Linked DNA regions of Astyanax mexicanus. The protein of the gene in region 3 purifies or fractionates together with the protein of the main gene of each other region. This does not show direct contact. Links are inferred from orthologs where the notes say so. Each region holds a gene or a part of one and is shown on either strand. Other genes may lie near its edges. The genes, in order: hnrnpa3, gtf2f1, hnrnpub and rps29.

Region 1 (7,691 bases), on a different chromosome or scaffold from region 3:
AACCCAAAAAAGGGCGACTTATAACTCACAGACAGGGATGCGTTGCAGTGGAGTATAAATATTAAGAAAACATAGGCTATTTTAAAATACAGAAATGAAATACCTGCATTTAGCAAATGTTACATTTTAAATATGCCATCCAATTTTCATAAGTTCATAAGTTAATAAGACAGGCAGCAGCGCCTTTTCCAGAGTGTTGTAGTACAGAGACTGTATCATACAAAGAGAGAAAGAATTGAGTTGGAAACATGAAAATAATTATTTATAAACATCAAATCAAATTTATTTGTATAACGCTTTTTACAACTGGTGTTGGCACAAAGCAGCTTTACAGAAACATGATTACAGGACAAAGAATCAGGCAAAAACATTAAACATACAAAATACAGAATACAGAACCCCCAGTGAGCGAGTATTAACAATTTAACATGAATAAACCTGTAAACAAGTAAAGGATGATCACTGTGTGTAATAAATAAAAATGACTCCAGCAGTTTCTCATTAAAATATATTGTGTAAATATTCAGTATACATTATTCTTTTAAAGTATTGTGATGAAACACTTATTTAAAAAGTACAAGTAGTAGCTTTTCACAGTAGTCTGCTCTGTTTGCAGTTCATTTCAGCGATTAGGTTTCTATACTCTCCTGGATTCAGGGGAAATCTAGAATAATTTGCCCAGCATGCAGGGCGATGAGTCCTGAGTTTCAGCATGAGTGTATGAAAGTATTGTGGGCTTGGATGTTACCTAAATTTTGCCAAAAATTACATGTTACCATGAATGAATAACAGCATACTAAAACTTACGGCAGGCTACAATAGTATTACAAAAAAAAAAGATTTTACCCAATTTCAAGTGACATAAAAGTGAAAACCTGAAATTGTTTGGCTTGTACTTTGTGTGGGACTTTTATTTCATATTTTTGTAATAAATAGCATTTTGAAATAAACAAATACATCAGTTTACTGGTTCACCAGTCATGAATTTGGCGTTATTTATGTACTGGGCATTTAACATTGCTATCAAATTAAAAAAGAGAAAAGTTCTTGTAGAATTAGAGTCTTAATTAAGGAAGTGATATCACATACTAAATCTAAAACACTCAAATACTGTGATCAGTGTGAATGGGGTCTCAAGTAAACAGCTTGTAGGCCACCATATGTCTAAAGGAAAGGAGGATTGTAAGCATCCAGCAGGTGGCGCAGTACTCTATTGTAGGCTCCAGTGCAGCAGTCCAGGTGCTACGTGTCTGGAACTCAAGGCCATCAGGTTTATGTTCCCAGGTTTTTGTAAAAAGATCACAGCAAGATTGAAAACCAGTTTTCCTGCATCTTTCAGGAAGTGCTCTGTACACAGCTCTCTCACGGAAGGCTTAAACTTACAAACAACTCACTATTGTGTTTTTATAGTTAAGTGAGAATGAATGAGTATCTGAGTAATAATCAACCCAGAGTGACGCAATGTGCAGTATTGTTTTTTTTTGTGGTAAAACATAGCTTGCATACAAGCACAGACACACACAGGGCTTGTCTCCATTATGTTGGCCTACTGAGTTCTTGACTCCCATTTTAACTTTAACACACAGTTTACAAATATATCCTAATATTATACTGAAACAAATCCAATATAATATGAATTTATCCAACAGCCCCATCTACAAGCTATTGCAAAATCTCTCAGTCCAACTAGGTCATGTGGGAATTATAACTAAGGCTAGTTAAAAAGCCAGATATATTGCCAGTTACTGAGTCCAAAGTTCAGCTTAAGCGCTGTAGCTCCAAAAAAAAAAAAAAAACAGTAAGAACACAATATGATAGTGGTGACATTAAATAAAATAAAATCTCATCAACCAATAGAACAGGTTCTGCCTATTTTTGAGATGAACTTGATAACTAATACATGAAATGAATCAGGTTGAAGAAAAACAGGAAACTGGAAAGATCACGTAAACTACATATTTGCAGTTGGGAAACCACAGGCCAAGAAACAAACATGATAAACTGTAAAAGTTGTCAATTCAGGATTACCTTTTTATATCAACAAGTGTAGGCTTTTCCCAGATAACATGCTCATATTGGGCCTGTATGAGTAGCAAAACTAAGAACCAGAAGGTTTTGTCCACAGGGTTGGTCCCTCATGTGGATGTCACTGATAGGCTTCACCAGGGTCAGTGTTTGGGGTGAAATAAATATTGATATATCGAAGTATTGTAGTATTTTATTTTTCAATACTGTATCGTTTTTCAAAAATGTTTTTATTATTAGTTTACATGTGAATATTAAGGGTAGTCCGTTTTGCTAGATCCAGATCCAGTTGTAATTCAGATTTAATATGAATTTTATACTATAGGAATTTTCCCAAAAATGTATTTAAACCATCACAAAATATAGTCTTGCCTTACAGTATCACAATACATTGCAATATTTTAAATCGTAAACCCTGTATCAAATTCTTGCCAATGCACAGCCCTATTTAATGTAAGACAGGTGACAAAACATGGTCCCCATCTTGGTTCATACACTGCATAAATTATCTAGATAGGGATAGAGGTGGGCAGTAATAATGGTAATGATGGTGTCTGTTAATGAAGCCCATTTGTGTGCAAACCCATTCTGAGCCTACACCTACTAGCCCACATTTCACCCATGTGAGCCCCATATGCTACACTGGTTAGTATAACCTGTAAAGAATTCCTAACTGTTGTTTGACTCACAATAACCTAAACCTGACTGGCTGCTTTAAAACCAGCCAGTCACAAGATTGGAAGAGCTGGTATGTACTCCACTGCTAATAATAGCATCAGTGTTAATTTTTTTTCATTTCCCAGTTTAGTTCAGGTTGAGGATGTCTTTTTTTATCTGTACTCCTTGTTTTCATGTGTAACCCTTCCCCTTGTAACTTTGTCCCCCTAAAAACATTAACTAAAGAATTGGGATATCCCTTTAAACACTGATAGGGATATTTAGCAGTGAAGCGCTAAAGTTCAGCACCCTAGTTGCTTGTTAACTAGCTAGTTAACTAGCAGGGCATTGTCTTCATTATTGTCCATTCCTTAATTCCTCTGTAATGGGGATCTTAAATTATGTTTGTTATGGAGAAAATGGACACAAAACATTGAAACTACACATTAAATTATGGTATTATAGTAGATATTGTAATTTCTACTAAGGAAAACTTAAATTTCTGGGTTTCCTTGGTTGTTTGTGCTGCTATCTTGCCAGTGATTCTAGCCCTCTTTTTTGAGTGTGCGTTTGAAGGGTCATGTAGCCCTAACACTCCCCTACCCTTCCAGCGTAAAAAAATCGGGACACGCTACCCCTAGACATTTGCACAAGCAAAACAGAGGGGTAGGGCTAAGTGGTGGGGCAAAGGGGTGAAATGAGATTGGGCCGTAGCGCACACAGAGGACAAATTAATTTTTGGTTAAAAATTAAGACTTACATAAGGTAATGTGGCTGCCTATAAAATGTGGATTTCACTAAAATTTAAATAAAATATTATTGTTCAATAAGTGTTGTGTTAAAAATATAAAATAGCCTTAATGAAGCAACGTATTAAGGCCAATTTTAGTACTTTTGAAATCTAAAACAAAAAAAAATTAATATATATATATATATATATATATATATATATATATATATATATATATATATATATATATATATAAGTTACAGGATGTTACTCTGTCTGTCTCTTTATTTTTCTCATTTCCCAGTGTCATACGCTCTAAATTACTTATTCACTTTGAGGATACAGTACTGATGCATCTAAAAAAAATGAATATTATTGAAAAGTTATTTTATTTCAGTAATTTAGTTCAAAATATGAATTGCTTACAGGCAAAGAAAACCCAAAAACCAGTGTCTCAGAAGATTGGATTAGATATTATATAAGATAAATTTCTACTTTTGACAGTGTGGGCAGTGTGCCAAGTCCTGCTGGAAAATGAAAATCCACTTCTCCATAAAAGTTGTCAGCAGTGGGAAGCATGAAGTGATGTACGATTTTCTAAGAAAACACTCCAATGACTTTGGACTGATAAAGGATGTTGTTGTATATACATTATTATAATGTGGCATGGAAGAGGAAGGAGGACTCGTTAGACTCATTACAGTACTCAACAGCTCTTTATTTAACAGGCTTGCCACTTACTTATAGCCTTTAACAAGGCTAGGAGAGCGAAACCCAACTGCTCACACAGCATAAACAGCCCTAAGGTCACTAAACCAACTAGGAATCTACCGGATGGTAGATCACCACTCTGCATAACCCCACTTAAAAGGGAGGCCCCACACCTGACATCCACTCACACACAGGCACACAGAGACAGGCACACAGCAGCCACACACACACACACACACACACACACACACAGACGCCACAATATTGTTTGGTACACTTTCAAGAATAAAAGCAATATTCATTATACAACCAGTTGAGAAATAACATATAACGTAATAACCTAACTGAAGGACAAAACACCTCATATCACCAAAATGGCACCTTTGCAAGAAAAAAACCCCAAATAATTTTGTAGCATTTCTGCTGCTTGATTCATCATGAAATTTAGATACTTTTCTGCTTTTAGGAACAGTTACCTAAAAAAACTGAAGAAGGCTGAAAGCTGAGCAAACAAACAAGCTAAAACAGCTAATATTTATTAGTGTTTCAGAGACAGCAGCTGCGCTGGGTGACTGACTGTTCGATCCCCTGGTGGTGGTCTCTGGTGTTACAGCCCCGAAAAGCAGCAGCAGCACTGGTGTGAAAAGGAGGGGTGCAGACGCTGCGACATGGAGGTAATAACCGTTTATTAGCTGTGTATCACTGTGCTTTATTGCATGGCATGTAACTAGAAATATTATAAGAGGTTTAGGTTAAAGACGCAGTACAGTAAAGTACAGGTGGCAGCTTGGGCTCTTGGTTCTGCTGTGCTGGCTGGCTGTCGTGTTTACAGCTAGCTAGCTATGCTAAGCTAGTTACTACCTAGCTACGCTAAGGTTAGCTTGCTAGCTGGGTGGTTCTCGCCAGATTTAGGTAAAGGGAGCTAGGTAGCTAAGGTAACTCTGCACATGAATATTTTTCAGTGGTAATTCAGAAACTGGGGAAGTTGAACCAGCCGAATAGTACATTTCTGCTTGTGGTTTTTGGTTAAATCACGAAACGGAAAGTGAATACTCTCACTCCTGCATAGTTAGTGCCCACAGCTAACACCGGTCCGGCTAGCTCGCTAATCTCCTGCATTTCGGCTTGAATGTCAAGCTGTGATGTTGGCGAGGAAGTAACTGGAAAACGGTAGTCTAAGTCCAGACTGCTCCTCCAGTATGACACAAGAGTCACGAAAACACAGGCTAACAATATGGTGGAGAGAGGAAAACAGCTCTAAAATGGCGTTTGAGGAGAACCCGCTTGGAATATTCCAGACGCGGATGAGGGCAGTGCTGATAAGATAGCCAGCAGGTTCAGCGACCGGTTTCTCCTGTAAAGAACATGGCTTGTGTCGAAATGTAGCGTTTCTCAGTCAGTTCAAAATCATCCATATAAAATTTACCGGAGTCAAATGGCTCAACTGAAACCCTTACCTGTAGCATCTCGGACACGAAGCCCCTGCTCCCAGTGTATCAGCTTAGAAAATTATTTTTCTCTATAAACAAATTGTACCAATGGTTTACAGGGGATGCTCTGGATAATTGGAGGGTTAACTATTTCTATAAAGGAAATAAGGGAGTGGATAATTATTATTTAGAGGAAATAATTTATTAAATGTATTACTTATTTATTATTTAATTGACGGGTTTTATTGGGAAATTAAAAGGTTTTTTTAATAGAAAGAATTCAGCGTTGAAGGAACAGTTTAGCTAGCTATTAAAACGAAGGTAAATACAATTTAATTGACAGACTGGATTGTTAAATTTGGGGAATGGTTATATGTTTATTAATTCAAGTTTATGTAATTCAAGCAGCATATTACTAAATTGAGGGCCTGTTAATTAAATTATTTAAGTTTTATTTAAGTATTATTTAGAATAACTAGCAACAGTACTTCAGGGGATCTGTACAAACAGAACATTTCTAACAAGCCTATGACTGCTGATTAACTACTTTTTTTAAGCTGTAATAGCTAATGGACATTAGTTACAGATGCATTTACATTTCATAGGAACCTGGGAATTTTAATGCTAATTGTAATGTTTCTTAATATTTTTTTCTTGTTGTCAACAGGGTCATGACAGCAAGGAGCCAGAGCAGTTGAGGAAGCTGTTTATTGGCGGTCTCAGCTTTGAAACAACAGAGGACAGCCTGCGTGCTCACTTTGAGCAATGGGGCAAACTCACAGACTGTGTGGTTAGTGAGAACTGCAGTGCTGTTTGGGGCATTTTGTTAGATTTTTTTTTCTTTCAGTGTAAGCTTTAATTGCTAACTACTTCCTTCCACAGGTAATGCGGGACCCAGGGAACAAGCGGTCACGAGGCTTTGGCTTTGTAACTTATTCATGTGTTTCCGAGGTTGATGCAGCAATGGGTGCTCGGCCCCATAAAGTTGATGGACGCATCGTTGAGCCTAAAAGGGCTGTTTCCCGAGAGGTATCTTGATGCACTGTTTTTACTCTCTACAATATTATTAGTAGTTTTTGGATTATTCTTAAGACTAAAGATTGTCATCTATAGTTCACTGATTTCGCTTCCAGAACTCAAACATAATTGCCTTAAAACCTACATAATTTGCAATACCTTTTCTTGATGTTGTTACTGTTTTTAGGACTCGAATAGACCAGGGGCCCACCTGACTGTAAAAAAGATTTTTGTCGGAGGTATAAAAGAAGACACAGAAGAGTATCACATACGAGAATACTTTGAGCATTATGGGAAGATTGAGAGCATTGACATTATGGAGGAGCGGCCAACAGGGAAAAAGAGAGGATTCTGTTTTGTAACGTTTGATGATCATGACACTGTGGATAAAATTGTTGGTAAGAAAATATTCACGAAAAATCTGCCTTGTTGTAGCTGTTGTTTTTAGTACAAGCACTAAAAATTCCCATTTGTGTTTCTCTCTAGCCCAGAAATACCACACCATAAACTCTCATAACTGTGAAGTCAGGAAAGCACTCCCAAAACAGGAAATGCAAGCAGCTTCTAACCAGAGGTGTAAGTACAACCTCATAATAATCATCATATCACAAATCATCAATAGTCAAATAATTTATGTACATTTGTGTGTGAGGCACTTTCTATAATTCTGTTGGGGTGTGTGATATGGCAAAGATAATATAATGTTCAGGGATAGTCTCAAAATGCATACAATTATGTTTATATAATAAGACATAACAAAATATAGTGTAATTGAATGTAATGTACATCACAATACTTGTTTGAATTACTTTTTGTTTTTTAGTCTCTACTAATGCAAAGTAGTATTGATCTTTTTAGCAAAATGTGCAGCTGGATAGTGTTCATTAATTGCATACACTATTCACAACACCAGAAAAACATACTCACTCCTATTTTAAAGTATAATTGTTAAATGCTGTTAAGAATTGTTAGAGATTTGTTTTAGAGAAACGTTTCAGGAAAAAAAGTCAAATTTCCTGTTTATTGCCTTAGTGTAAACAAACAGCAGAAAAGGAAACATGAAAAGGTTAGATTACTTTTCAGCTCCTTTGTTTATTTCCCTTTTAGATCGGGGTGGCGGA
Region 2 (7,969 bases), on a different chromosome or scaffold from region 3:
AAGCTAACCTTGAATCCATATCCGGCTTGATATCATTTGATTGAACAGGTTTACTGATGTGTTCCAATTACTTCTTTTTTCATTTCTCACTCCCTTGTGTTTCCTCTAGCCTCAGTTATTAACTCTGTCCCAGCAGTGGAGTTAATGCAGGCCCGCGATGAGCTTGTCTGTTTGGTGTATGACTACAGCCCATCTGTCATTAACATTACCTGGCTGCTGGATGGTGTGAAAGTACCGCACAAACACACCACCAGACCTGCCAAAGGGCCTGACGGGAAATTCAGTGTTAAAAGTCAGCTGCATGTCCTGGCTTCCGAATGGGCACCTGGATCTAAATACACCTGTCTGGTTCAACACGTCACTGGCTCTTCTACTCAAAACATTTCCAAAGAAGGTAATTATTTGCATCAGGTAATCGTCCGCTTTAAAAAGTATTCTACCTCCCTGAAACCTCAGATATCAGTATGTGTTTTTGAATCGTACCTCAGGTTGATACACCGACAAATCAAAATAGCTAAATATGGTAAATGAAAAAAGTACAGTACCAGTCAAAAGTCTGGACATGAACTAGATTTACAAAGTAAAAATAAATAGTAAAAAAGGTGTTAGTTCTCCAAAATACCTTACCTAACCTGATCAACTCAGATCTTGATTTGGGATAAGCTGGAGCTTCACAGCATGAAGAAAAAGCAGCAACTACTGTTCAGCACTTGCAGGAACTCCTTCAAAACACTGAGAAAACTATCCAAGTGACCAAGAAAATACCAAGAGTGTGCAGATCTGTGCTTAATGCTAAATGTGCTATTTAGAAAAATTAGAAAAGTAAGAAACATATTCTGGTTTGCTTAACACTTTTTCTTTACAAATTAATTCCTGTTCCTGTTTAGCCTTATTGTCTTCAATATTAAATTACAATGTAAAACATCATACAAAGAAAGAAAACACTTTCAACTGAATGAAAAAATGCATGTTAATGTATATTTAATTTACTTTTATTTATATTGACTTTTAGTCAATTTTTTTAGTCGATCCAAGATATTTCATGTTTTTTTTCCTGGTCACATTACGAAAAATTGGGGTGGAGACAATTTAAGTATAGTAATGAGGGAAAATAAATTATGATGTTATTTCAATCAGGTGAGGTTAACAGGTGATCATGGTAAGTAGTTTTTACAGCTATAAAGTGTAAAAGCAAGTCAGAGTCAAGGTTAATATTTTTGGTCTGGTTAGTTGTGTTTTCCTACTGCAGTTTAGTGACTGCACATTGCACATGGCTTGATGAGCATGCACGTGAAGGGGATTTTATAGATCCATCGTCACACAGTGTAAATGAATGTCTTTTGTGGTCAGGTGAATCAGTACTCCAGATATTTTTTGAAAGAAACAGGTGCTGTGTGCTCTGTACCAAAGTCAAAAAGGAAAATCCAGACTCCTCTCAGCAAAAGCCCATGTCCAAAAGCCAGGTTCTGTCATGATAAAGGGTTTTATTAGTACACTCATGTGATGCAACATTAATGCAGAAACATACATTGAGACAAAATATCTTCAGTGCATTTTTTCAACAAGTCCATGCAAAATGCATGCTGCACGCATTGCAAAGACATGGCAGTGGAAGAAGAGGGTATGGGTACTGGACTGGGATGTGTGGAGAGTTTCAAAATTAAAAGTTCGACCCCAAATTGTTTCATACCTTAAGATGTGTTTGTTGGTTGAATGGAACAAAATGATAAATAATATATTCTTTGTTTTTTCAGAAATTATTGAGCAGAATATATACTATAATGAGAACCTGTCTGATGCCATCATAGAGGACACGGCTGAGGAGACGTGGAACATGGCGTGTGCCTTCATCGTACTCTTCCTCCTCTCTCTGATTTACGGATGCTCAGTGACGCTGGTTAAAGTGAACACTGCGCGTCCAGCACGTCCGTTTCACTCACGGGATTTTAAATAATTAAAGAAACAAAGCCTCACTTATTATTATTATTATTATTACTTTTATTATTACTTACTGTTGCATGCATTAGTTCAGGAGTGGAAAACAAAAATATGATAAAATATTAAATAATTAAATAAAACATGACCTTGCTGCATGATGCTGTGTGCAAATCAAACAACATTGCTTAGCTTATGTTTCTTTCCTAGCCTGTGTTAAATCACTCCACTTTTGCTTAGTATCAATAAAATTGTTCTTCCATTAAACTATCTTAAAACACAAATGTATGGATGTATTGTAATTTTTTATATAATACATATATTTGTATATTTGTAATTACCTGTATTTGTAGAAAAAAGCACAGGTAGGTTGGCACAGGTACAATCAGGAGCGATTCTAGGAACAGAGGTTTAGGGGTGATCAGTACCCAACAAACATGCTGAGCAATTAGGTTCCATCTTTTAACTTTTTTTTTAAACTTATTATTTCACCTGAACCTGCTCTTTACTTTAGAAAATAACCCAATAACCATGGCTGACTGGCTGGCCACACACAAACACACACACACACACACACACACACACACACACAGGACGTATCAGTGGTGAGACATCATATCAAACAACAACAGCATAAAGAGTACTCAGTGCAGAGAAAGTGAATTACCATTTGCCTTTTTTAGGGTGTTTTCATTCCGCAATTTTTGTTTAATGATCTACTTTCTAAGATTGTAATATATTTTTAGCTTATCAGAGACACTGATAAAAACAGCAGAAACTTTCTGCTATCACATTTAGGGGTGCTGGGACTCATTTTAGGGGGGCTTGAGCCCCTCTTAAAAGAACTAGCGACGCCTATGCTTACAACCGAGGTGGGTTTAAAACATGTTATTAGAGGTCTGCACAGGACTGATTTTTAAAACCTGCTCCTTCCCACTCCCACTTTTTTAGTCATGTTACTGCTCACCCTCAAATGTACTTATGTATTTTTTAAAGCAAGCATGAAAGTTGTTTAGCTCGTTTAGGAAACAAATATGAGCAGTTACAGGTGTTGAGTTGTTGTGCTGGTAATCAGTGATGATCTGGTCAGGTTTTCTTTTATCTTTAGTTTTTAGCAGAGCTTGGCCTTTTTAATGCCCTTCCTCAGATTAGACCTGGATATGCTGTAGGCATGTGCATCACCTGTTCTGAAGGTGATGTTACAATCCTTTAGCAGCTGCACCTCCCTATTCATGCATTGATCCAACTTCTGATTTAGGTATGTCTGTTTCTGCATGGTGATTAATATAATCCAATACAGAGGTGGCTAAAGTGTCAATATCAGCCCTCACAAAATAGAAAACACAGGCATAGGGAGGCTGAGGCGAGGACTGACCCATGGTTCTCTAGTTACAGAGACTAAAGGCTATCATGTTTGTGTAAGTTTATTTTGTTGTGGTGGAGGACATTATTTAATAAAGGTACGCTTCTGACTGTTAGGCCAAGACGCCCACGCCCATATCCCCAATGACAATGCGGTATATTACAATACATAAAACAATTATCCTATTTTGGCGAGAACAGAACTTGGGCCCAATTTTAGCGGCCTATAGCGCACTAGTTAATTGTGCTTTGCGCCGCTGGATTTAGGGGCGTGTCCTGCACAGTTTCAAATGAGTGTGTTTTGGGCGTAATGTGAAATAAACCAATCAGTGTTGCAGTATTCATTCCCTTTAAGAGGCAGGTGCATGCTGACTTTTGTTCACTGGCATCTTAAGAGCGCAGCTTTTTTATGTCTTGACGGAGAGGACTGACTGCGCCTTCACACTGTGAAGGTACACAGCTCATTTAAGGGAAAAGCAGTGCTATTTTATTCTTTATTCTGTTTATTGTTTATGTAAAAGCTGGGTTTGCAACAATAAATATCAATCAATCAATCAACCTTTATTTTCACTTGGGAATACATTGAGGGTAACCTTCAGCATTTACAGTATAAAAGGGATTGAAAATATTTAATTATAAATAACAAGGAATCAAATAGTAAAAAAAACATAATAAATAAAATAAATACATATTTTATGCCAATATTTAATGTAGATGAATAAAATATATACGTAAAAATGCGTAAAATGATAAGAATGATAAATGATAAAATGCATAATATTAAACTAAGAACATGGAAATAAAAAAAACACAATAAAACAAAACTTATTTGATAAATAAAGAAATAAAACAAATTCAAATTTTAAAATAATAAAAATGTAAACTCACAAGCTTTCTGATTCAGAAAACCTGACATTAGTTTAAGTTTCAAATTGTGGAAACAGCTCACCAAAACCTCAAAATATCTTTTATATTTGACAATTTTTAATTAACTTTACAGGTCCTTATTCATCTTAAGTTTATTTAATTGAACTGAGTTTTATATTATATTTTATGTGTGTGAGTGAGATAAAGAGAGAGAGAGTGCCTTTAGCACAGTGACTGTGTGTCTGCAGTTTGAAGGAAAAAACAGTAGATGAAAGTAGTAGATGGCTCAATAGGTAGCTTGCTGGATTAGAATTTGTGCTAATTTTGAATTTGTCAGCTAGCCAGCCTAGACAGAATAAGCGAGCATTAGCAACAGAGTTACTAATTACTAACTAATTACACTTAATGCTTTTAACTAACACATGCACATGCATTATTTAGTTGATTAGATCTGTTAAATATTAAAAACGCATTTTTAACACTGTTACACTAGCGTTTTTTTAATGCTTGTCATAAAGAAAATGGCCACAAAATGTTGAAACTACATATTAAACTATGGTAATATAGTAATTATCATATTTTTTAACAAGGAAAATAATCAAGCCCTAGGTGTTACACTAGAAAAGAAGGGGTAGGGGTAAGTGGTAGGGCCATGGGGTGAAATGAGATTGGGCCTAATTGTGCAGGCCGCTGCTCCAGACCACCAGGCGGCGGTGCGAACCCACCGCTCCACGCGCTGCTGTAGCCGGGAGAAAGAGCTGCTGGCCGGTCAGAGCTGTGCTGCAGGTCGGTTCTGTGAGCAGCTCCGTGTCTCTTTCTGTGTTTCTCTCGCGTCGCTTCGTTTCTTTTAACACGATTTTTTGCTTCTGTTTTAGGAGAATTTTGCTGCTGCTGGTGTTGAGGTCAGCCTCGGCTTTGCGGGAACTGAAGGCCGGGATTGTTGAGCTTTTCGCCGGGTAGCGGCTGCTGGAGAGTCCGGTGAGTTTTCAGCGGATTATTAACCTGATGAGTTTTAATAATCCTTAATGTGCTGCTGCGGAGTCTCTTGGTGTATATATATATGTACAGCTTTATTCTTTATTTACATGTCGTTTATCAGTTAAATAAACCGGTACACACATTAAGCTAAATACAGCTCATGTTTGGAATAAGTTTGCTGGGTTAGTGGTTGTGCTGTATTATTTCAGTATTTTATATGCTTTGTTTTTCTACACATTAGTTTGCTAGTTAAGTTAAGCCTCTACAGCATAAACCATAAAAACAACTCCAATGATTGAGTGTTTATTTGTCATTCTGACATTTACATTTTTATTTAATCCTCTATGGCATGAATTATATTTTTGGGAGGAAAAAAAAATCACACCACTGTTTGGGAGATCTTTTCTTTGGGATCTTTTTCAGTCATGATGACTCTAAAAAGGTAATCTACATAATACATAAAACTTAAAAAAATAAGACTATAAAAAGCCTCATTTTATTGGATGTAGATATGTATATTATATATAGATGTGTATATTTAAAAAAAATAAGTAAATAAGATATGGTATTAAACATGGTACATGTAAGTGTATGTAAAAATGACAATATTAGTGAAACAGAATTAAATTATTGACAGAAAGCAAACATGTACAATTAAAAGGGGGCTCAAGTACCCTGTTAGGATGCATACAGGTTTCAGCTTCAGCCCACAAATGTTCACAACTTCCATCGGCCACTCTGGCAAAGACATTTCTGGGAAAGCCTTGCTATGCATGGACGAGCATTATCCTGCTGAAAATGCCTGTTGGAAGCCCTGCCATAAAAGAAAACATGTGATCCCAGGATGGTCTGCACATATTCTTGAACTGTTAGTGTCCTTTGTATCACTACTAGGTTTGATATGAGCAATTACTGTATTTAACATGCTTACCACAAGGCCTCTATTCAAACCTGACATTGTCAGATCCTTAACAGAACCTGGATTCCACACTTAAAATTATATGGTTCAGGTCTAAAGCAGTCCAGGTTTCTCGTCTACACCACCACTACACAGCAAGGTGACTGGGGAAGGGAGATGGACAGCCTGAATGGTGTGAAATTTGTCAAACTGAGCAACCTGCTTTTTTCAAATGACTAAAAACTGAGAAATACAATAGCAGTATCCAAAGAGTTTTACCTTTACAGTGCTGTGGAACAGTATTTACCTCTGAATTTGAGAACATTTCAAGCTGTAAATTACATTTTTAAAACATAAGTATTGAAAATGGGTATTTCATAGGATTAAACAGTGATTCTACAATTTTTAAATTCTAATAAGTCTTTTCTATACTCATCAGTTGGTGACGGACAGCACTCGCTTCTGAGAGAACGACAAGAGGAGATCTGCCGCTATGACTTCACTGGTAATGAGTAATTTATTTATGTGAATGAAATGGTGTTTGATAATGATAAAATAGTTGTAAGCTAGGTACATATTGTTGTCAGAAATGTATATGATACTTTTATCTGGCAGCATATTTGTAAACTTTGTGTTATAACTTATGTCAGGGACCTATGAGTCATTGCAGCTTTGGGCACAGGCTTTTAGTCACCACCACCATAAAAAGATCTAACTCCAGCTTCTTTCAGTTTCAGTGGTGATTCTGTATTTTGTTGAAAAGTGTGTTTTTGATAATAATTTTTGTGGTTGCTCAAATCCTTTTTTACACTGTCTAGCTGTGAGGGGTAGCAGTGGACAAAGTACACACACTATGTATTTAGGTTAAAGTAGATATACCCAGGGGTAGCATATTACTCCAGTAAATGTTAAAGTTTCATCTTTATAGCAGGAGTCACCAACTCTGCCTCTGGTGAGCACTCCTTAAGGTAGAGCTCTGCAATAATTCAATATTTATGTATTGCGATCTGAGATGTTTCAGTAACTATATTTTTCTGATATTTTAATGTACATTACTAACCACACCCATCTCTTATAATCTGGTGCCTCTTATACAGCTAGATAATATCGCCCTGGCTTACCAGAACACTTAGGGTTCCTCAGTGAAGCGTTTACAGGCGATTAGCGGCTATTGATAATGCTGCTGCACCCAGCCTTAGTGGAAATCTAAGCTTACTGTTAATAAACGGAAGCACATTACTCACCCAAATGATCAGTTTCTAAAAATCTATGTAGATAAACATCCAGTGCTAATTTGATTTTTATTTTATAAAGAATTACAGTTTTGTTTATCTAACTTTGCTTGCTTTACATGTCTCTCCACTGGGTGTATTAGAAGGAAAACATGGCAACACCCCATATCCTTACTAGTGTCGCATAATGCGTCATAATTAGGTGTACCTTATGGATGAAAATAGACCAGAAAATTTATGTTTATTTATAGTGCGCCTTATAATCCGGTGCACCTTTTATAGTGTAAAAATACGGTATTTGTCTTTAAAAAAACTTGAAATTGAAACTCAAATTACTATAAGTTTTATGGTTTATGATACAACTTTTGTTTAATAGTTTTCGGTGAAAATCTAAATTTTATTGAATGTTACGAAAACACTTCTAGTCGTTACTGCATACAAGCAATGTTCATGTTTAAATTGTATTTGTGACTTATTCACAAGTTAAAAGTTGCTGTAAACACGGACCCACAAATGAGTTTCCTTTACTATACTTTATTTGTGTATTCTAGAAGTTTCATCATTTATGTTGGAATAGGTACTCCCAACATAGTTAGGAAATTAGCCATATGCTTTGCTTATCTTAAATAAAAAGGTAAAAAAAAAAAACAAGTTTAAAAAAAAAAAAAAAAAGTGCACTGTGCCCTGTTTGGTGTGC
Region 3 (6,826 bases):
CTATACATATGTAACTATGTAATTCAGTAATTTAGCAAAACTGTCAGAATTCCCCATTAAAATAGCAGAATGGTTATGTGGATACTTAGTACTTATTTTTGCACAAACTGCATTACATAAGAGAAAAAAAACTTAATTCAGCTGTGGCAGAAGGAATAACTTAATTCTCATGTTTTAGTCATTGTTTGCAATGGTGTGTACTGTAGCAGTGTAAAACAATTGCATGAAGGCTGGTAAAATGTATTTCTTTTACGTTGGCTTGCATCTTCATCTCACCAAGCCCTGTTTGTTTATAATGAGATATGCTATATTTAGAAGAGACATGATGACTGCTGAAAATATACCAAACAAACTTCCAGAACATTAATTTGGTTTATTTGCAAAATGCATTTCAATGAAAGCAAATAAGATAATTAATTCAGTAACAGTGGAGGGCTTTCAAGCATACACTTTCTGTTTAGCATGCTGCCACAACATATCAATTGGTGGACCTTTTCTTCAGTTTTGCTGCATACCTCTGCTGGGACTGAGCTATAAATCAAAAACTGATTGCTGCATATTCACCTACTGGATTTTTGGTGCAGAATTCTTGATTCAGTAAATTATTAAAAATTAACCCAGGCCCTGAATCATCAAAGCACCCAAAACATTCATGCTACCACTACTACTTATTATGGAATGTTATAATAACTTTGTGGCAGATGTAACAGAGCAATATTTAATGTCATAATAAAATATGTCATAAATTATGTTATTCTCTGAGAAAATAATTGATGTTTTCTACTTTTTATTCTTAAAGGCTCTAACTGTAGTTTTCTGGACCAGAGCATTACAATATATTTGTTCTGTTGATACTGACTTTACTATGAAGAGATTATTAATATTAAGTAGTTATTTTAAACCAGTGAAAATGTACCAAAAAAACAAAACCTGTGCCTGAATGTCAGCTTAAGGCTCCTCTAGCTTCAACTGCATGTTCTACTGTTAAGTGCTAATTGCTCAGTCTTCTCCCTGTTTCACTAAACATGAATACCCTAATGCGATGAGCCATCACAAGCTATTATTACTCCAGGTACTGGGCCTATAAGACAAAAGAGACATGTCTATCGCCTGTTAAAAAGAGCTCTCAATTGTTCTTTAGAAAATGCAATACTTACATTTTAAACTGACCACATGAAGAAACTTGCATGTGTAAATATTTCTGTGCATTAATTAATTATTCTGTTTTATGATGATTAATCTTCTGTATGAACTCAGACATCCACTGTAGCAAAATTTTTTATTTGCAATTTAGCATTGCATATCTCTGGAATCTCTAAATGCCACGCTAATGATATCATAAAATAGTTTGCAAAAATTCTGTAGGAGGTACAACATTTTTTATGTGACAGTGAGAAGACACCAAAAATATTGTGAACAAACTTTGTAAAAAAAAAACAATAGTCAGGTTTCTATTGAAATAGCTCAGATTGTAAATAAAAACACAGAGGAGCTAAACATATTTTTAGGAGGAGTGCTCTGGCCACACAGAGTTTTTCTTGCATTTCAAAATTACATTAAAAATTATTGGGTATTTTTTGAGAGACTCAAAAATAATACTCAAACTGTACAAATAAATAAACTCAAACTAAGCAGCATAGAAAAAATGGATTTACTCTGTTTTAACTTCTGAATCTTTGCACCTTTTTTACTATATATATGTGATTTTATAGTGGACTTGGTGTGTAAGATATCAATTGAGTTGTCTTAAGTAATGAGAAATAGTTTGTATTTCCATGTAATGTGACCAAAATGAGGAGTTTATTAGGATCAGTTCAGTTAATGATTGATAAATCTTACTTTGTGCCTTTTAATCAGAATGATACTGGCACTATAAATATGTCAGAGTAAGGAAATGTGCATGTCCATGTGGAGAAGTTTTGAAACAGTAGTCTGCCATCCCAGGAGTAGACAACCTCATAAAATATATCCAATATCAATGTTCTAAAACATCCAGTAAGTGACAGGAATGATCACCGCTAACAAAGAGCAGTGTTCATTCTCATCATAACTTTACCAATTACCAGAAACGATCCGTTAAAAGGAAAATCATCTGCAATGGCCTAGTCCTGACTTAAATACTGAAATGTTGAGGGAGTACAGAACAGTTCATGTTTAAAGGCCTAAATATGTCACTAAGCTGAAGTAGCTCTGCAAGAATGTGTAGGCCAAAGTTTCTCTAGGGATTCATAAGACCCTAACAACTAGATACAGAAAGCATTTGGTTGCAGTAACTGCTTCAAGTAAGGGGGTGGGGAGTGTAAATTGCTATTGAAAGATAGGGGGCAATCACTTTTTCACACTGGGGGTTGGGTGTTCAGTATCGTTTCTCAATAAATACATAAATGACATTAAATCACATTGTTGTGTTATCCTCCCTTAAAGTACATTTTAAGAATTGTATTTGTTATACTCACACATTACAACATAAAATTAGACTTTGTTCAAATTAAAAAGTTATGACTTGATAAACCATTGTTGCAATAGCTCAACATTTTATAACCAGGGAAAAAATCCTAAAAAAAAAAAAAAAAAAAAAAAAAATTAATCAATGCCTGGGTCTTTAAGACTTTAGATTTTTTTCAAGAGTAATATTAATAATACTAATAACAATACTAATAATATTACTACTAAAGATAATATTTTGGTAGTATGTAGACCATCTTTAAGACACACCTACTACTACTGAATCAGTTTAACTACTGTAAAACCCCTCCAAGAAATAAGGGCTCCGAATTAGGTTAGGGAAACATGGCCCTAAAAATAATGTTACAATAATTCAGAGTGTTTCTGTGATATGTGCTACTACAACAATAAAATTAGCTACCAAAATACTACTGTGGAGAATATTTTGTGCATGCGCATAAACTGCAAACATAAAAATATATAAAAAATAACATTAAAGTTTTACAGTAAATAGCAAAACAAATACAAAATAGGTTGCTTTTAAGACAGACTAAAGCTAGTTTCACAATATGGATTTTGTCATTGTTTTAAAATTAAGACAATATTATTGTGTATGATAAGACATACCCCTACTGCAGATATAATGTTTATTTTGGTGCTGAATGGTTGAGCAAAATGTGTGTGTGTGTGGAGGTTTTGTCTGTTTTAAGCTTCATTTCTATTTTTTTTTATCTGTTCATTCATTAAAGAAGTAAAAAAAAGAATCCTCTGTACTCATAGACCATGTAGACCATCTTTAACACACACCTACTGCTACTGAATCAGCTTAACTACTGTAATCCCCTCCAAGCCCTAAAATAATGCTACAATACTTCTGCAATATGTGATACTGCAACAAATTAAATGTTAAAGTTTTATTTAGTAAAGAAGTTTTAAACATTCATTAGGATTTTTTTTAAAATAACCATGTTATTAATAGAAACAGTGATTTTGAATTAAATAATGATAATGTTACAAAAGAACTAACCAAAATATCAGCTAAAAATACTACAGTGAATAAATTACACAGGTTGAATGTCACACATTGTCCTTTATCGTTCGCTGAGTGGCCCAGTTACACACAGGTTAATGTAAACGTGTCTAAAGTGAGTTATATTTTATATTGTATGTCACGCAGCTGGTTTTGATTTATTACATACTGATTAATGTGTATGATCTATTAGGTGATTTCATGTCTCCTTGATTTTACGCTCTGTGTGTGTGTGTGTGTGTGTGTGTGTGTAATTGTAATTGTACACTCTGAGCTGATGTCACCTTGGGTGTTACCGCTCCTCCCCCGTTTTCCGGGCGGGAGGGGTTTATGAGGGTAGGCTCCGTCCAGAAGCACCGCGGCTTTGGCGCAGCTGAAGTGAATCCCAGCAGCTCTTTCTGAATCGCCTCGTCCTGAAGAAGAACCATCCGAGAGAGCGCGCGTTCCGCGTTACTGTTTTATACTAGTGAATTCTGTGAGTAATCGTGATTTTTTTTAAGGCTGCAGATATGAGTGCGATTAACGTGAAGAAGCTGAAAGTGAACGAGCTGAAGGACGAGCTGAAGAAGCGCCAGCTTTCAGACAAGGGGCTGAAGGCCGAGCTGATGGACCGGCTGCAGGCCGCGCTCGACGCCGAGGCCCAGGCTGGAGGAGAGCAGGACGGCGAGGAGAACGGGGCCGAGGACAACAGCGCCGAGCTCGAACCGGAGCTGATGGGTGAGGAAGGGGGCGAGAGCATGGAGGCCGACGAGGGGGAGAACGGAGGCGGCGCGGATGAGGAGGCCGCAGCGGCCGACTTCGACGAGCTCGGCCAGGACGACGAAATGGCCGAAGACGAGGAGGACGACGGAGACGCCGCGGTCGACATGGACAAGGCGCTGGAAGACGACGACGAGGATGAAGACGAGGCAGATAAGATCGGTGATGAAGACGGTGAGCAAGAGTCCCAGCCAACAGAGGGTGAGTGCATCAGGAGCCGATTCTGAAGCTCGTAGTTTAACCTAGCCAACCAGCTAATTAATGTCCGCCGGCCGGGACTGCCGCTAACCTAGCAACACTCTGCAGCTTTAGCGCCCTGTAGACTGAGCTAGTAGATAGATAGTTACCGGCTTGTTAGATATTGAGAGGAAAAAAAGCAGGTTCGATTTTAATGAATTATTTAGGTAGTTCGTTGTGTAAGGAGTTTGGTTGGTTTATTTGGTATTTTAGTATCAGTATAGTCGTTTTTGGCTCGAATAGTCAGCTCGTCTGTAGCTTTTGTTTCCTCTCAGCGGTCGTGTGCGAACCCCATCTGTCGTTATTGTTTTATGAGCTAGTCAGGCTAGGCTAGTTAGCGTTAGCCCGTTAGCTAGAGCTGTCCGACCGAAACAATAGGTTGCCGGTTTTTGCAGTACTAGAAATTTAATATTTGGCTACAAAACTGTGCACGAATTGTTTTTTCGCGTTTCTACGTCCAACACGGGGATTAATAGCAGGTTATAGGGTCTTTTGTTAGCCTCTCCGATATATTTCGGTTAGAGGGTAACGTTATCCGGCGGGCCGCGCGGGTTAGCTAACTAGGCCCTGGCGCTGCTGCGACGAGCGATCTCCACGAATCCGTATGTAACATAACGTTAATACGATCTTATATAGCTAGCTAGAAAGCTAAAGCTAAACTCAAGGTAATGTGGTGATTTAGTGGCTATTGTTTAATTATTTAACCCGAGCAGGGAATTGTTCGTTTTAATTTGGGTTTTTGTAGCTTAGCATAGTCTGAAGTGGCTTAGCCGGGGCCGTGAAGGAGCTGGCTGTATTAGCAGAGTTAAGCTAACTGCTAATTTGTAATGAAGCAAGAAGGTCAAGAATCGTTTACTGTGAGTTACGTTAACTAGTTAGGTTAGGTTAATGGCTGTGCCGTTTTTGTGGCCGTCGAAGTTGATTTTATCTAGTTTAATGTGTCCCCACACATATTTGATCGTGTTCATTCAGCAGTATGAGTAAAAGGGACTAGCGTAGCTAAATATAAGCTGCTGTTCATCCTCATCACTCACATGTGAAGAAGAGACACGTTAAGATCTCACATTTGGTTCATTCTCCCCGAATGGGCCAGTTAACAGTAGTACACACAGCATGAATGCACATCTTTTTATACATTTTTATATTATTTTAAATACATATTCTGTCTGATCAGAGGTGGTCAACTTGAGTGTAACTGGGGCGGGAGGAGTCCGAGAACTCCTAGTCGTGTGGGACCACCCTTAAAACCAGGGTCCAACACGCACGAGCATTTCATCACTCTTTGTTTTATTTCCAAAGGAGATGCGGACAAAGACAACAATGCTGATCAGAAGAATAAGAAGGGTGTTAAGAGACGCCGGGAGGAACATGGAAGGGGCTACTTTGAATTTATTGAAGAAAGCAAATACAGCCGGTAAGGATGGGAGTAATGGCCTTCGTCATCCCAGAAGTGCCACTTTTAATATGTATTGGCTTTAAGAGCCAATGCTTTACTTGTAGGAAAAACACCCTCACATGTCTCTTTTAATAAAGTGTAAGCCAGTTGAGGGTCATCCTTGGCTCATAAAACCTTACCTTGCAGTGCTTTTGTATCCTTCTGAACAGGCTGCAAACTCAAGACATTGATCAGATGTGTAACCTCTAGTCTCAATCATCATGACTTGTCATTGTTCCTCACACACTGTTTTGGCAGTTGTACGCGCGTATGGCTGTGAAAGCATCCCTTTGGCTCAAAGGGACAACAGGAGAGTAGCAGCTGTCTCATGACGGTGGGGTGGGCAGTGGGCGTTTATGTTCAGACCTGCAGCGTGTCATATAGCCGATCACATGTTTTTGGGGGGCGATTAGGTGTTGTATTCTGATAATGACCCAGTGTGGGAGAAGATGATCGGGAAGGGATGGTCGGGGCATTGTTTCAGCGTTCACTCGTGCCTTTTGTTTGCATGCTGCATTTAGCTTGTCTTCTCTGAATAAATGTTTTCTTGCAGGATTTTTTTTTGCTGTTCAGGAACGTGTGCTGCGGTCTTCCATTTCTTGTTTTTGGTGTTTTTTTTATTTTGTTTGTTTTTTTTTTCATTGTGTGTCTTTGTGTGTGTGTATAAGAGAACACAAGTAAGACTGATTTGTTCTTTAACAGTGGTTTCTCGCCATTTTTTTGGCTGGGTAAGTACTGTTCTACCCTTTCTGCAAGATTTAGCAGTAATTTCTTATTTATATGGAGTGTTGGAGGTAAAAAGGTTTTGCTTTTATTTTAAAAATGTATTACTGTTGTCTCAAGTTAGACAGTATATCAGTGGAGATCTCTGAAGTCCTGGCTTGTCTTGACCTTTCCAGAAGACAGTCTGAGGATATAAA
Region 4 (7,005 bases), about 14 Mb from region 3:
AGAGAGAGAAAGAGAGAGAGAGTGCATACACTTTAGCATAAAAGGTAATATACCTTCTGAACTCAACATTAAGTGTTGCTGTGTTGTATTAAAAAAAAATAAAGCATTGAAGTTTTCAAATTAACTGCATTACTTATTATTATGTATGCCTTTCATTACTTGTGTTCCATATATTTGTCCCCATTCATGATTTATGCTGTATCTTTGTGACTTTTTGGACCTATCATTTGTAGGTTTTTAGTTTACTACATGATTTGAACACAAAAGCAGTCCTTTACACTGTCAAAATTTCTTGATTCTTTTCTAAAATGACCTGAATTAAATTATTTTACCTTGACTTTCATTGAAAGTTAAGAACATTTTCTCCTGTAAAGACGCTGTTTTTAGATACATGTATTTCATTGGATAGTGGCGATATATGTTGTGTGTGTGACATAAATTGTGTACTTGTATTATGTCTGCCCAATAAAAAAGCAAAAAACAAACAAAAAGCATGCACTACAAGATACTTTATCTAAAAAACCCAGAATTAAAAATATTCAAAAATTGATAATATTCAGAAAAACTTCAGATTGCGAAACTATACTTATTCCTTAGTTTTACACCAGCAAACAGTAATGTGTGTTTTACATTTACAATACATTTGAGTTGTGATAATTTTGGGTTAATCTGATCTACCTGCATGACTAACATTACCAAGCTGCTCTGCAAATAAGTCAGAAAGACCAAATAAAAAAAAAATAAAAGTATAAAAATAAAAATATAGGGACAGTATTTAGAAATAAAAATATATGCAAAAATATATTGAACCAAAGTGTGGTAATCAGCAGTGTGTTAAATGTGCAATGCAAAAAATAATGAACTTATCATAGGCTGGTCATCTTGGTCAAGTTGGCTGTGCAAAACTGGCAACTCAAACAAAAGCATAAGAGCTAAGCTGGCAAACCAGCTTTTCCTGCTATTGCCAGCTTCAGCTGGCTAGACTGGTTATTCCAGTAGAAGTATAGCCCAAAGTGTTCAATAAACAATCATTGTGTTACAGTGTACACACTCTAAGAGGCCTTAATTAGCCTCACAACACAACCAATCATAATTTACCTAACATGGAAAAAATGTTTTTGGTAATATGGTCTTCACATTAAAAGTCAAAATCATAGATCACTTACAGTTAACTCCAACCAATAATGCTGATGCATGTTGGTTTATGACTGGAGAATGACTGACACTATCTGTCCAGCTCTGGTAAATGTGTGCTGTTTGGCCTACGTCCTACTGCGCTGCAATGACATTTATTGCAAATTACACTTCACTTCAACCAAAGGTTGTGTAAATGGTGATTGTGTTACATCCACCAGGAATTTAACCTGACACTAAGAACTAATATTGGGTGTTTGATGACAAACACTATAAAAGCATTGATTTAACCCAATAAAAAAGGTCAAATCTTTGTATACTCTGAGAAAAATATGAACTACCCAAGGTGTATTGTTGGGGCTGTATTTGGTTGCGAACTAAACTACATATCCACACTTTAGTCATGTTGTTTAATCAGTAACTACAGCTTAAACTACAGTACACATTACAGCAGCTGGTGCCCAAGTTGACAAAAATTATAACTGAATAAGCATGTGATTTTCGATTTACTAGTTATTCTTTTTTTGGTTTGTTACATAATAAGAACATTATGGCCAAACACTTGGCTTTGAAATCTACAAGTCTTCCAATATACAGTAGCAACAACCATATCAGGTTATTATTTAAACCTGATTGAAGGCTTATGGTCTGAATTAGTGAGAGTGGTTTTATATTAGACTAAAGCTATACAAATAGAATCAGCCTTTGCAGATTTTAAACCCTATTAGACCAAAGGCCTAATGTTTGGGAATACTACTAAAACACTGGTAATAATGTGACATTTATTTTGGGAATACTTCTCCTTGGTTTGCACTATGTAGTTATGTGTTTATGTTCTGTTTTGGACTTTGGAGTGATCTCACCAGACAGTTTCTGTTTGTTTTTGGTTACAGCAGTGAAAATCTGAGATCAATATTGAAATTCTACTAAAGTAAAACTGCAAAACTATATGGCAAAATTGGGCCGGAAAAACACTGTAGAAGAAAAGTAAACATAAAGTCTCACAGAGCTCTTAATTCATCTATAATTGAGTTCACATTTAATGACATAACTGTATTTTAACCTTTTTTAGAATATAAGTATTCACAAATGCATTTAAGCTATTCAGAATCAGTATACAAATGTATGGGTGTTCTTAGCTCTCAGAAGTCAGTGGTGTAATCAGTTTCAATGTGGTGCATAAGTGGCTGTCTATAAAACAATTTAATTAAACATAAAAAGTAATCAGTAATTAATGTTACTGACTAAAATGCCTGCAGTCCTGGTGCACACGTTAAGTTGTGTCTGCAGGAAGAATAGGACAAAATCTAAAACACATAATTGCTTGGTGACCTTGTTGAGAAGGAATGGCAACCACAAAATGAAAAAAGAAGGAATTACAAAATGAGAAATATTTTACTGTCCCACCTCTTTTTTGGAATGTGTAGCAGGCCTGGAATGCAGGAATGGATTTATCAACAAATGAAATGAACTTGAACAGACAAACCATAAAATATTTGTGGATGTCAATTCCTATCAATATAAAATAAAACTTGCTAATTCAAAATCAGCAGTATTACCCAATAGCCAGTAGCCATGTCATATCAGTTTTAATTAATAGTGCTTAAACTCTGCATGTCATCTACTTGAAAATTCTATATTTAAATGTGAATAGTTAACATAGTTAACAAAATTTACTTTTGACTTTACTTCATTAGCCGTTTTTACCTTGGCATGGATGAAAAATGAGAATTCAGAAAAGGGACATTTGGAGGAGCTCAGCATAGCCATTGCTATTCCCCTATTCATCATGCAATCTTGACACAATGTAAAGAACAGCTGCGAGATTCAAATTAGGTCAAAAAAGTGCAAAATGATACAAGGTATTTGTGTAGGAGCAACAATCTATAACCTAATATAGCCTTGTTAAGAGTTTGAGTGTTTTTCCTCTGCAAACAATGTCACATAAGTAGTATTTATACTACATTAAAACATAATACTACTAATAATGCATATAAATGATAAATGCATTCTACAGCACTAAGAAAGTAAATAAAATGTTATTAAAGAAATATAACATGGAAAGATATATGTACATACAAAAGAGATTTAACTATTTATTATCAAAAGAGGGTGTATACAAGTAACAAAAGGATTGTGAGTATTAAGGTTCGAGACATTTTTGAACCAAATAAGAAGTGTATATTAATTTACACATTTACATTACATAAAAAATGCTTAGTTCTCTTTGAATATTTATATTTATGTATATAGATATTTGCTAAATATAACTAAACTAAATAACTTTAAATTTAAACTAATTTTTATGGCTGCGTTCACATTACAAGCCACGTTGCTCAAATCTGATTTTTTTTCTTCAAGGTTCACATTCACAAATGTAAGTGACCTGTATCTGTGTGAAATGTGAATGAATCTGTCTCTGAAACGCTTTACATGCGGACATTGTTACGTGTATAAACTTCGCCTTCTTCACCAACAACAAAAAACTCATATTTGAGAGACGATTTGTAGCTTTATAAAAGGAAAATGGATGTGTTAGCAGCTCAGATGTAGAGCATCCTTTGCTGGAGTGGGGAGTAAACAGCTGGTCTGTAGTACATGCTAAGTTCGAGGAGGTGAAAAAAGGCCTTTTGCTGTTTTTGCAGCTACAGCTGCATAGCTGCACCACAGCTGCACATGGCACATGCATGAAAGCAAAATGACACATTAATTAAGATATGACCGGTTACATCTATGGTTACATCCAGTGTTTATTTTTCTTCATTGAGGTTGAAGATACTCTCCTTTAATTAAATGAAAATGAACCAGTATCTGAAAAACAGGGGGAGCTGTAGGGGCAGACCTCCACAGCTTAGCGTGTGAGGGGACGGCAGAAGAAGAGCCGTTTATTCGCGCATGCGCGCTAATGCTCCTTCCTTTTCGACATCCCGAGCGAGAGAGACAAGATGGGCCACCAGCAGCTCTACTGGAGTCACCCGCGGAAATTCGGCCAGGGATCCCGATCCTGGTCAGTAGGGCGGCCGCTGCGCGTGTTGTGGGTGGTGGGGTTCAGTGCGGTGGGGAATCCGCGCTCCGGGTCCCGGGATGTTTGTTTAGAGCTGAGAAACTCGAGGAGCACATGGAGGAGCGCCGCGCTAACATGGCGGGCTCGGCTAGGGTTAGCCGCCAGGGCTCGGCTAGGGGTTAGCTAGCTGCTAACAGCATCGCTGAGTACTGGATTTATTTAGCAGCGGACATATTCTACATTAGCAGGAGTTCTGTGTCTTAAATCGACTACTTATAAAGAGCATTTTCTGCGCGTTAGAACGACGTTAACTGTTCAGTTCTCACGGGCTCGCTAATGATCCGGGTATCTGAGGCTTTACTATTGCAACGTTATATCTGCTGGATTAACTACTGTTAACCTAGGTAGCCACTTAACATCTCCCGACTAGTGTAGGGCGCTTCCACACCTCCACTGTTCGGATTTGGACTTTTCTGTTTGATCCGAGCCTAAAGATCAGATTTGGGTCCGACCCTAAAAAGTAACCCGCTAAAAAAGTTAAATTAGGGGAACTAGCGCTTAATTAATTGGATTTTTATAACTTTCTATTATTGTAATGTTTATAAGCTTATTTACTCAATCAACAAAATGTCATGTTTTACAATACTTAGGAAACTAAATTTGCTGTGTTCTGTAGATTAAGTTGCGTTAGTTCATCTAGTTTACTAGCAATCCGGGATTGTGGCACTATGCTATTGTCTGATTCCGCGTTTTACCTAGTCCTCCAGTAGAGATGGTCCCGGCCCGGGACTGCTAAGAAAGCTAGTGTTAACCTAGCTAACTAACTCAACATTCATCTCACAACTAGTGTAGGGCGCTTTCACACCGCCACTGTTCGGTTTCGGACTGTTCTGTTTGATCCGAAATAAAGGGCCAGATTTTGTTCCGACCCAACGAGGTGACTAAAATAAACAGTGGTTAAATTAGCTTAACTAGCTAATTAATTAGTTTTTAGAACTTTCCTTTATCCTAACGCTTATTACTCTCAAAATATATGGAACAGTTCCGTTTTACACTAACTAGGGAACCAAACTAGCTGTTGGTAAACACCTAACTTAGCTTGTTCTCTGTAAGTTAAGTGGTTAACTAATTAACTAGCTATCAGGATTGAACCATGGTCCGGTTCGTCTGCAGTGTGAAAACACTCTTCTAGAGAGTTCGGATCATTTTACAGGAAGCAGAGGCAGCCTTTGCACAAACCAGAAGGAGAAAGAACTTGTGTTGTGCCTTATCACGCAGCAGTATGAACACGGACAGAAATAATTTATTTACTCCAACACTAAATTAACCCTTATTTATAATCCTCTCAGTCAAATTCATAAATAACCTTCCAGAAACCAATTATTTTGAAGTGCGAAAAGATGCAGCCCATGTAGTTGATGACAGGATGTAGTAGTTATTTAGTCCACTTACTAAACTGTAGTGAAAAACTAAAACTTAACACTGTTTATACACCATGACAAAGACATTAACCTCATTCTTTATGACTGATAAATTGGATACACTTGCATGAATAATAAACACGTTTTCATCAATAAATGCAACCCGACCAGACTAAGTCAAATTCATGTGCGACAAAAACGAATGAGCAATTGTTACATTTAAAAGAATTCATAATCGAGTTTCTTATTTAAAGTGCATTTGTGAGGTGTTTTTCATTGTTATTGTAAAGCGGTACATATATAGGTTGCATGTTATAGATTATTAAAAGGTAGATAGCATGTTGATTATCTTTATTGAACTAGCTATATAGATGTTGAATGCAGCTGTGTTAAGTAATCACTAATAGAGCATACATTGGGTACATTGCAGTAAACAATGCGAAGTGTAAACACAGTAAGTAAGCTACATGGTTTTGTGCACTAAATGTATAACTTGACAGTTTTACAGTAATACTGTTAAATGCTTCAGTGTTGCTGTGCACCTAAATAAAAATATATACCTCCAGTTGTGGGTGTTAAGTTATGTTGACTTTCTAACTAAACGCTTTCCCCTCCCTTTTTTCTTTTCTACAGCCGTGTATGCTCAAACAGACATGGTCTGATTCGCAAATATGGGCTCAACATGTGCCGTCAGTGCTTCAGACAATATGCAAAGGACATCGGCTTTATAAAGGCAAGTATTCCCTTACTCATTGTTTTGCCCAGGGGTGGGATGCTTTTGTCCTGTTAGTAACATAATACTCCTTTTGTTGGGGAAAAATGAGGAAATGTAAAAGCTATTGTTACTTATGGTTCAGATGTTTTAATAGTTGTTTAATTTATTTCAGATGGATTAAGTGCTTGGATTGCTGAGCACCAGCCATGTGGACAACTCATCCAAAGCCACCAAGATGAAGTTGAATTGGAATTCCCAATAAACACTTTTTTTTCTGGTTAAAACTGTTGTCGTTCTTGGTTTTCATACTTGGGGTCGAGTGTTTTCAAAAATGATTAGTTGACGTTCTTCACACAACATTTGAGGGGCTACACAGTAACAGTCATGTAATGCATTGGGCTACTTTTCTGTTAGGCTGCATATGTAAACATTGAAGTGCTTTAATGAAATCTGCTATAAGAAGTGAACAGCAGTGAATCAATTGTTTAATTTGTGACCTGCTATTTAAGAGTACCAACTAGAATATATTTTCAAGAAAGGGTTGCATGTCTCAAGTTGCTGTCCTAAATTGCTTTTTTTTCATATTTTGACTGTTCAGACTTTCACTAACCAAGTGTTAAATTTGAGGGGGTTAAAGCAATTTGCAAGATTTATGGGTACATCACACTTGAAGCCAAATCTGTCAATTCTAATTGTATAATTAGTTTATTACTTTACTTTGGCCTTCATAC

What was found.
Region 1: the proteins of hnrnpub (region 3) and hnrnpa3 fractionate together in Homo sapiens (co-fractionation; 3 studies listed by BioGRID, with this or other methods). This does not show direct contact. The link is inferred for Astyanax mexicanus from reciprocal best matches to the Homo sapiens genes HNRNPU and HNRNPA3.
Region 2: the proteins of hnrnpub (region 3) and gtf2f1 purify together in Homo sapiens (affinity purification with western blotting; 3 studies listed by BioGRID, with this or other methods). This does not show direct contact. The link is inferred for Astyanax mexicanus from reciprocal best matches to the Homo sapiens genes HNRNPU and GTF2F1.
Region 4: the proteins of hnrnpub (region 3) and rps29 fractionate together in Homo sapiens (co-fractionation; 3 studies listed by BioGRID and IntAct, with this or other methods). This does not show direct contact. The link is inferred for Astyanax mexicanus from reciprocal best matches to the Homo sapiens genes HNRNPU and RPS29.

Annotation. Positions count from the first base shown.
Region 1 is NC_064418.1:32,177,219-32,184,909, forward strand, and holds the start of hnrnpa3 (heterogeneous nuclear ribonucleoprotein A3), read left to right. Parts: upstream 1-4,689; 5' UTR 4,690-4,791; coding exon 4,792-4,797; intron 4,798-6,220; coding exon 6,221-6,343; intron 6,344-6,435; coding exon 6,436-6,582; intron 6,583-6,757; coding exon 6,758-6,968; intron 6,969-7,056; coding exon 7,057-7,146; intron 7,147-7,677; coding exon 7,678-7,691. UniProt on the Homo sapiens protein: Plays a role in cytoplasmic trafficking of RNA. Binds to the cis-acting response element, A2RE. May be involved in pre-mRNA splicing.
Region 2 is NC_064426.1:8,389,110-8,397,078, reverse strand, and holds the start of gtf2f1 (general transcription factor IIF subunit 1), read left to right. Parts: upstream 1-4,946; 5' UTR 4,947-5,142; intron 5,143-6,479; 5' UTR 6,480-6,533; coding exon 6,534-6,545; intron 6,546-7,969. Other genes in the region: ighd (titin), read left to right, coding at 110-394, 1,755-1,954. UniProt on the Homo sapiens protein: TFIIF is a general transcription initiation factor that binds to RNA polymerase II and helps to recruit it to the initiation complex in collaboration with TFIIB. It promotes transcription elongation.
Region 3 is NC_064408.1:59,824,971-59,831,796, reverse strand, and holds the start of hnrnpub (heterogeneous nuclear ribonucleoprotein Ub), read left to right. Parts: upstream 1-3,817; 5' UTR 3,818-3,984; coding exon 3,985-4,435; intron 4,436-5,770; coding exon 5,771-5,885; intron 5,886-6,826. UniProt on the Homo sapiens protein: DNA- and RNA-binding protein involved in several cellular processes such as nuclear chromatin organization, telomere-length regulation, transcription, mRNA alternative splicing and stability, Xist-mediated transcriptional silencing and mitotic cell progression.
Region 4 is NC_064408.1:74,140,134-74,147,138, reverse strand, and holds rps29 (40S ribosomal protein S29), read left to right. Parts: upstream 1-3,998; 5' UTR 3,999-4,079; coding exon 4,080-4,141; intron 4,142-6,192; coding exon 6,193-6,292; intron 6,293-6,446; coding exon 6,447-6,455; 3' UTR 6,456-6,558; downstream 6,559-7,005. UniProt on the Homo sapiens protein: Component of the small ribosomal subunit. The ribosome is a large ribonucleoprotein complex responsible for the synthesis of proteins in the cell.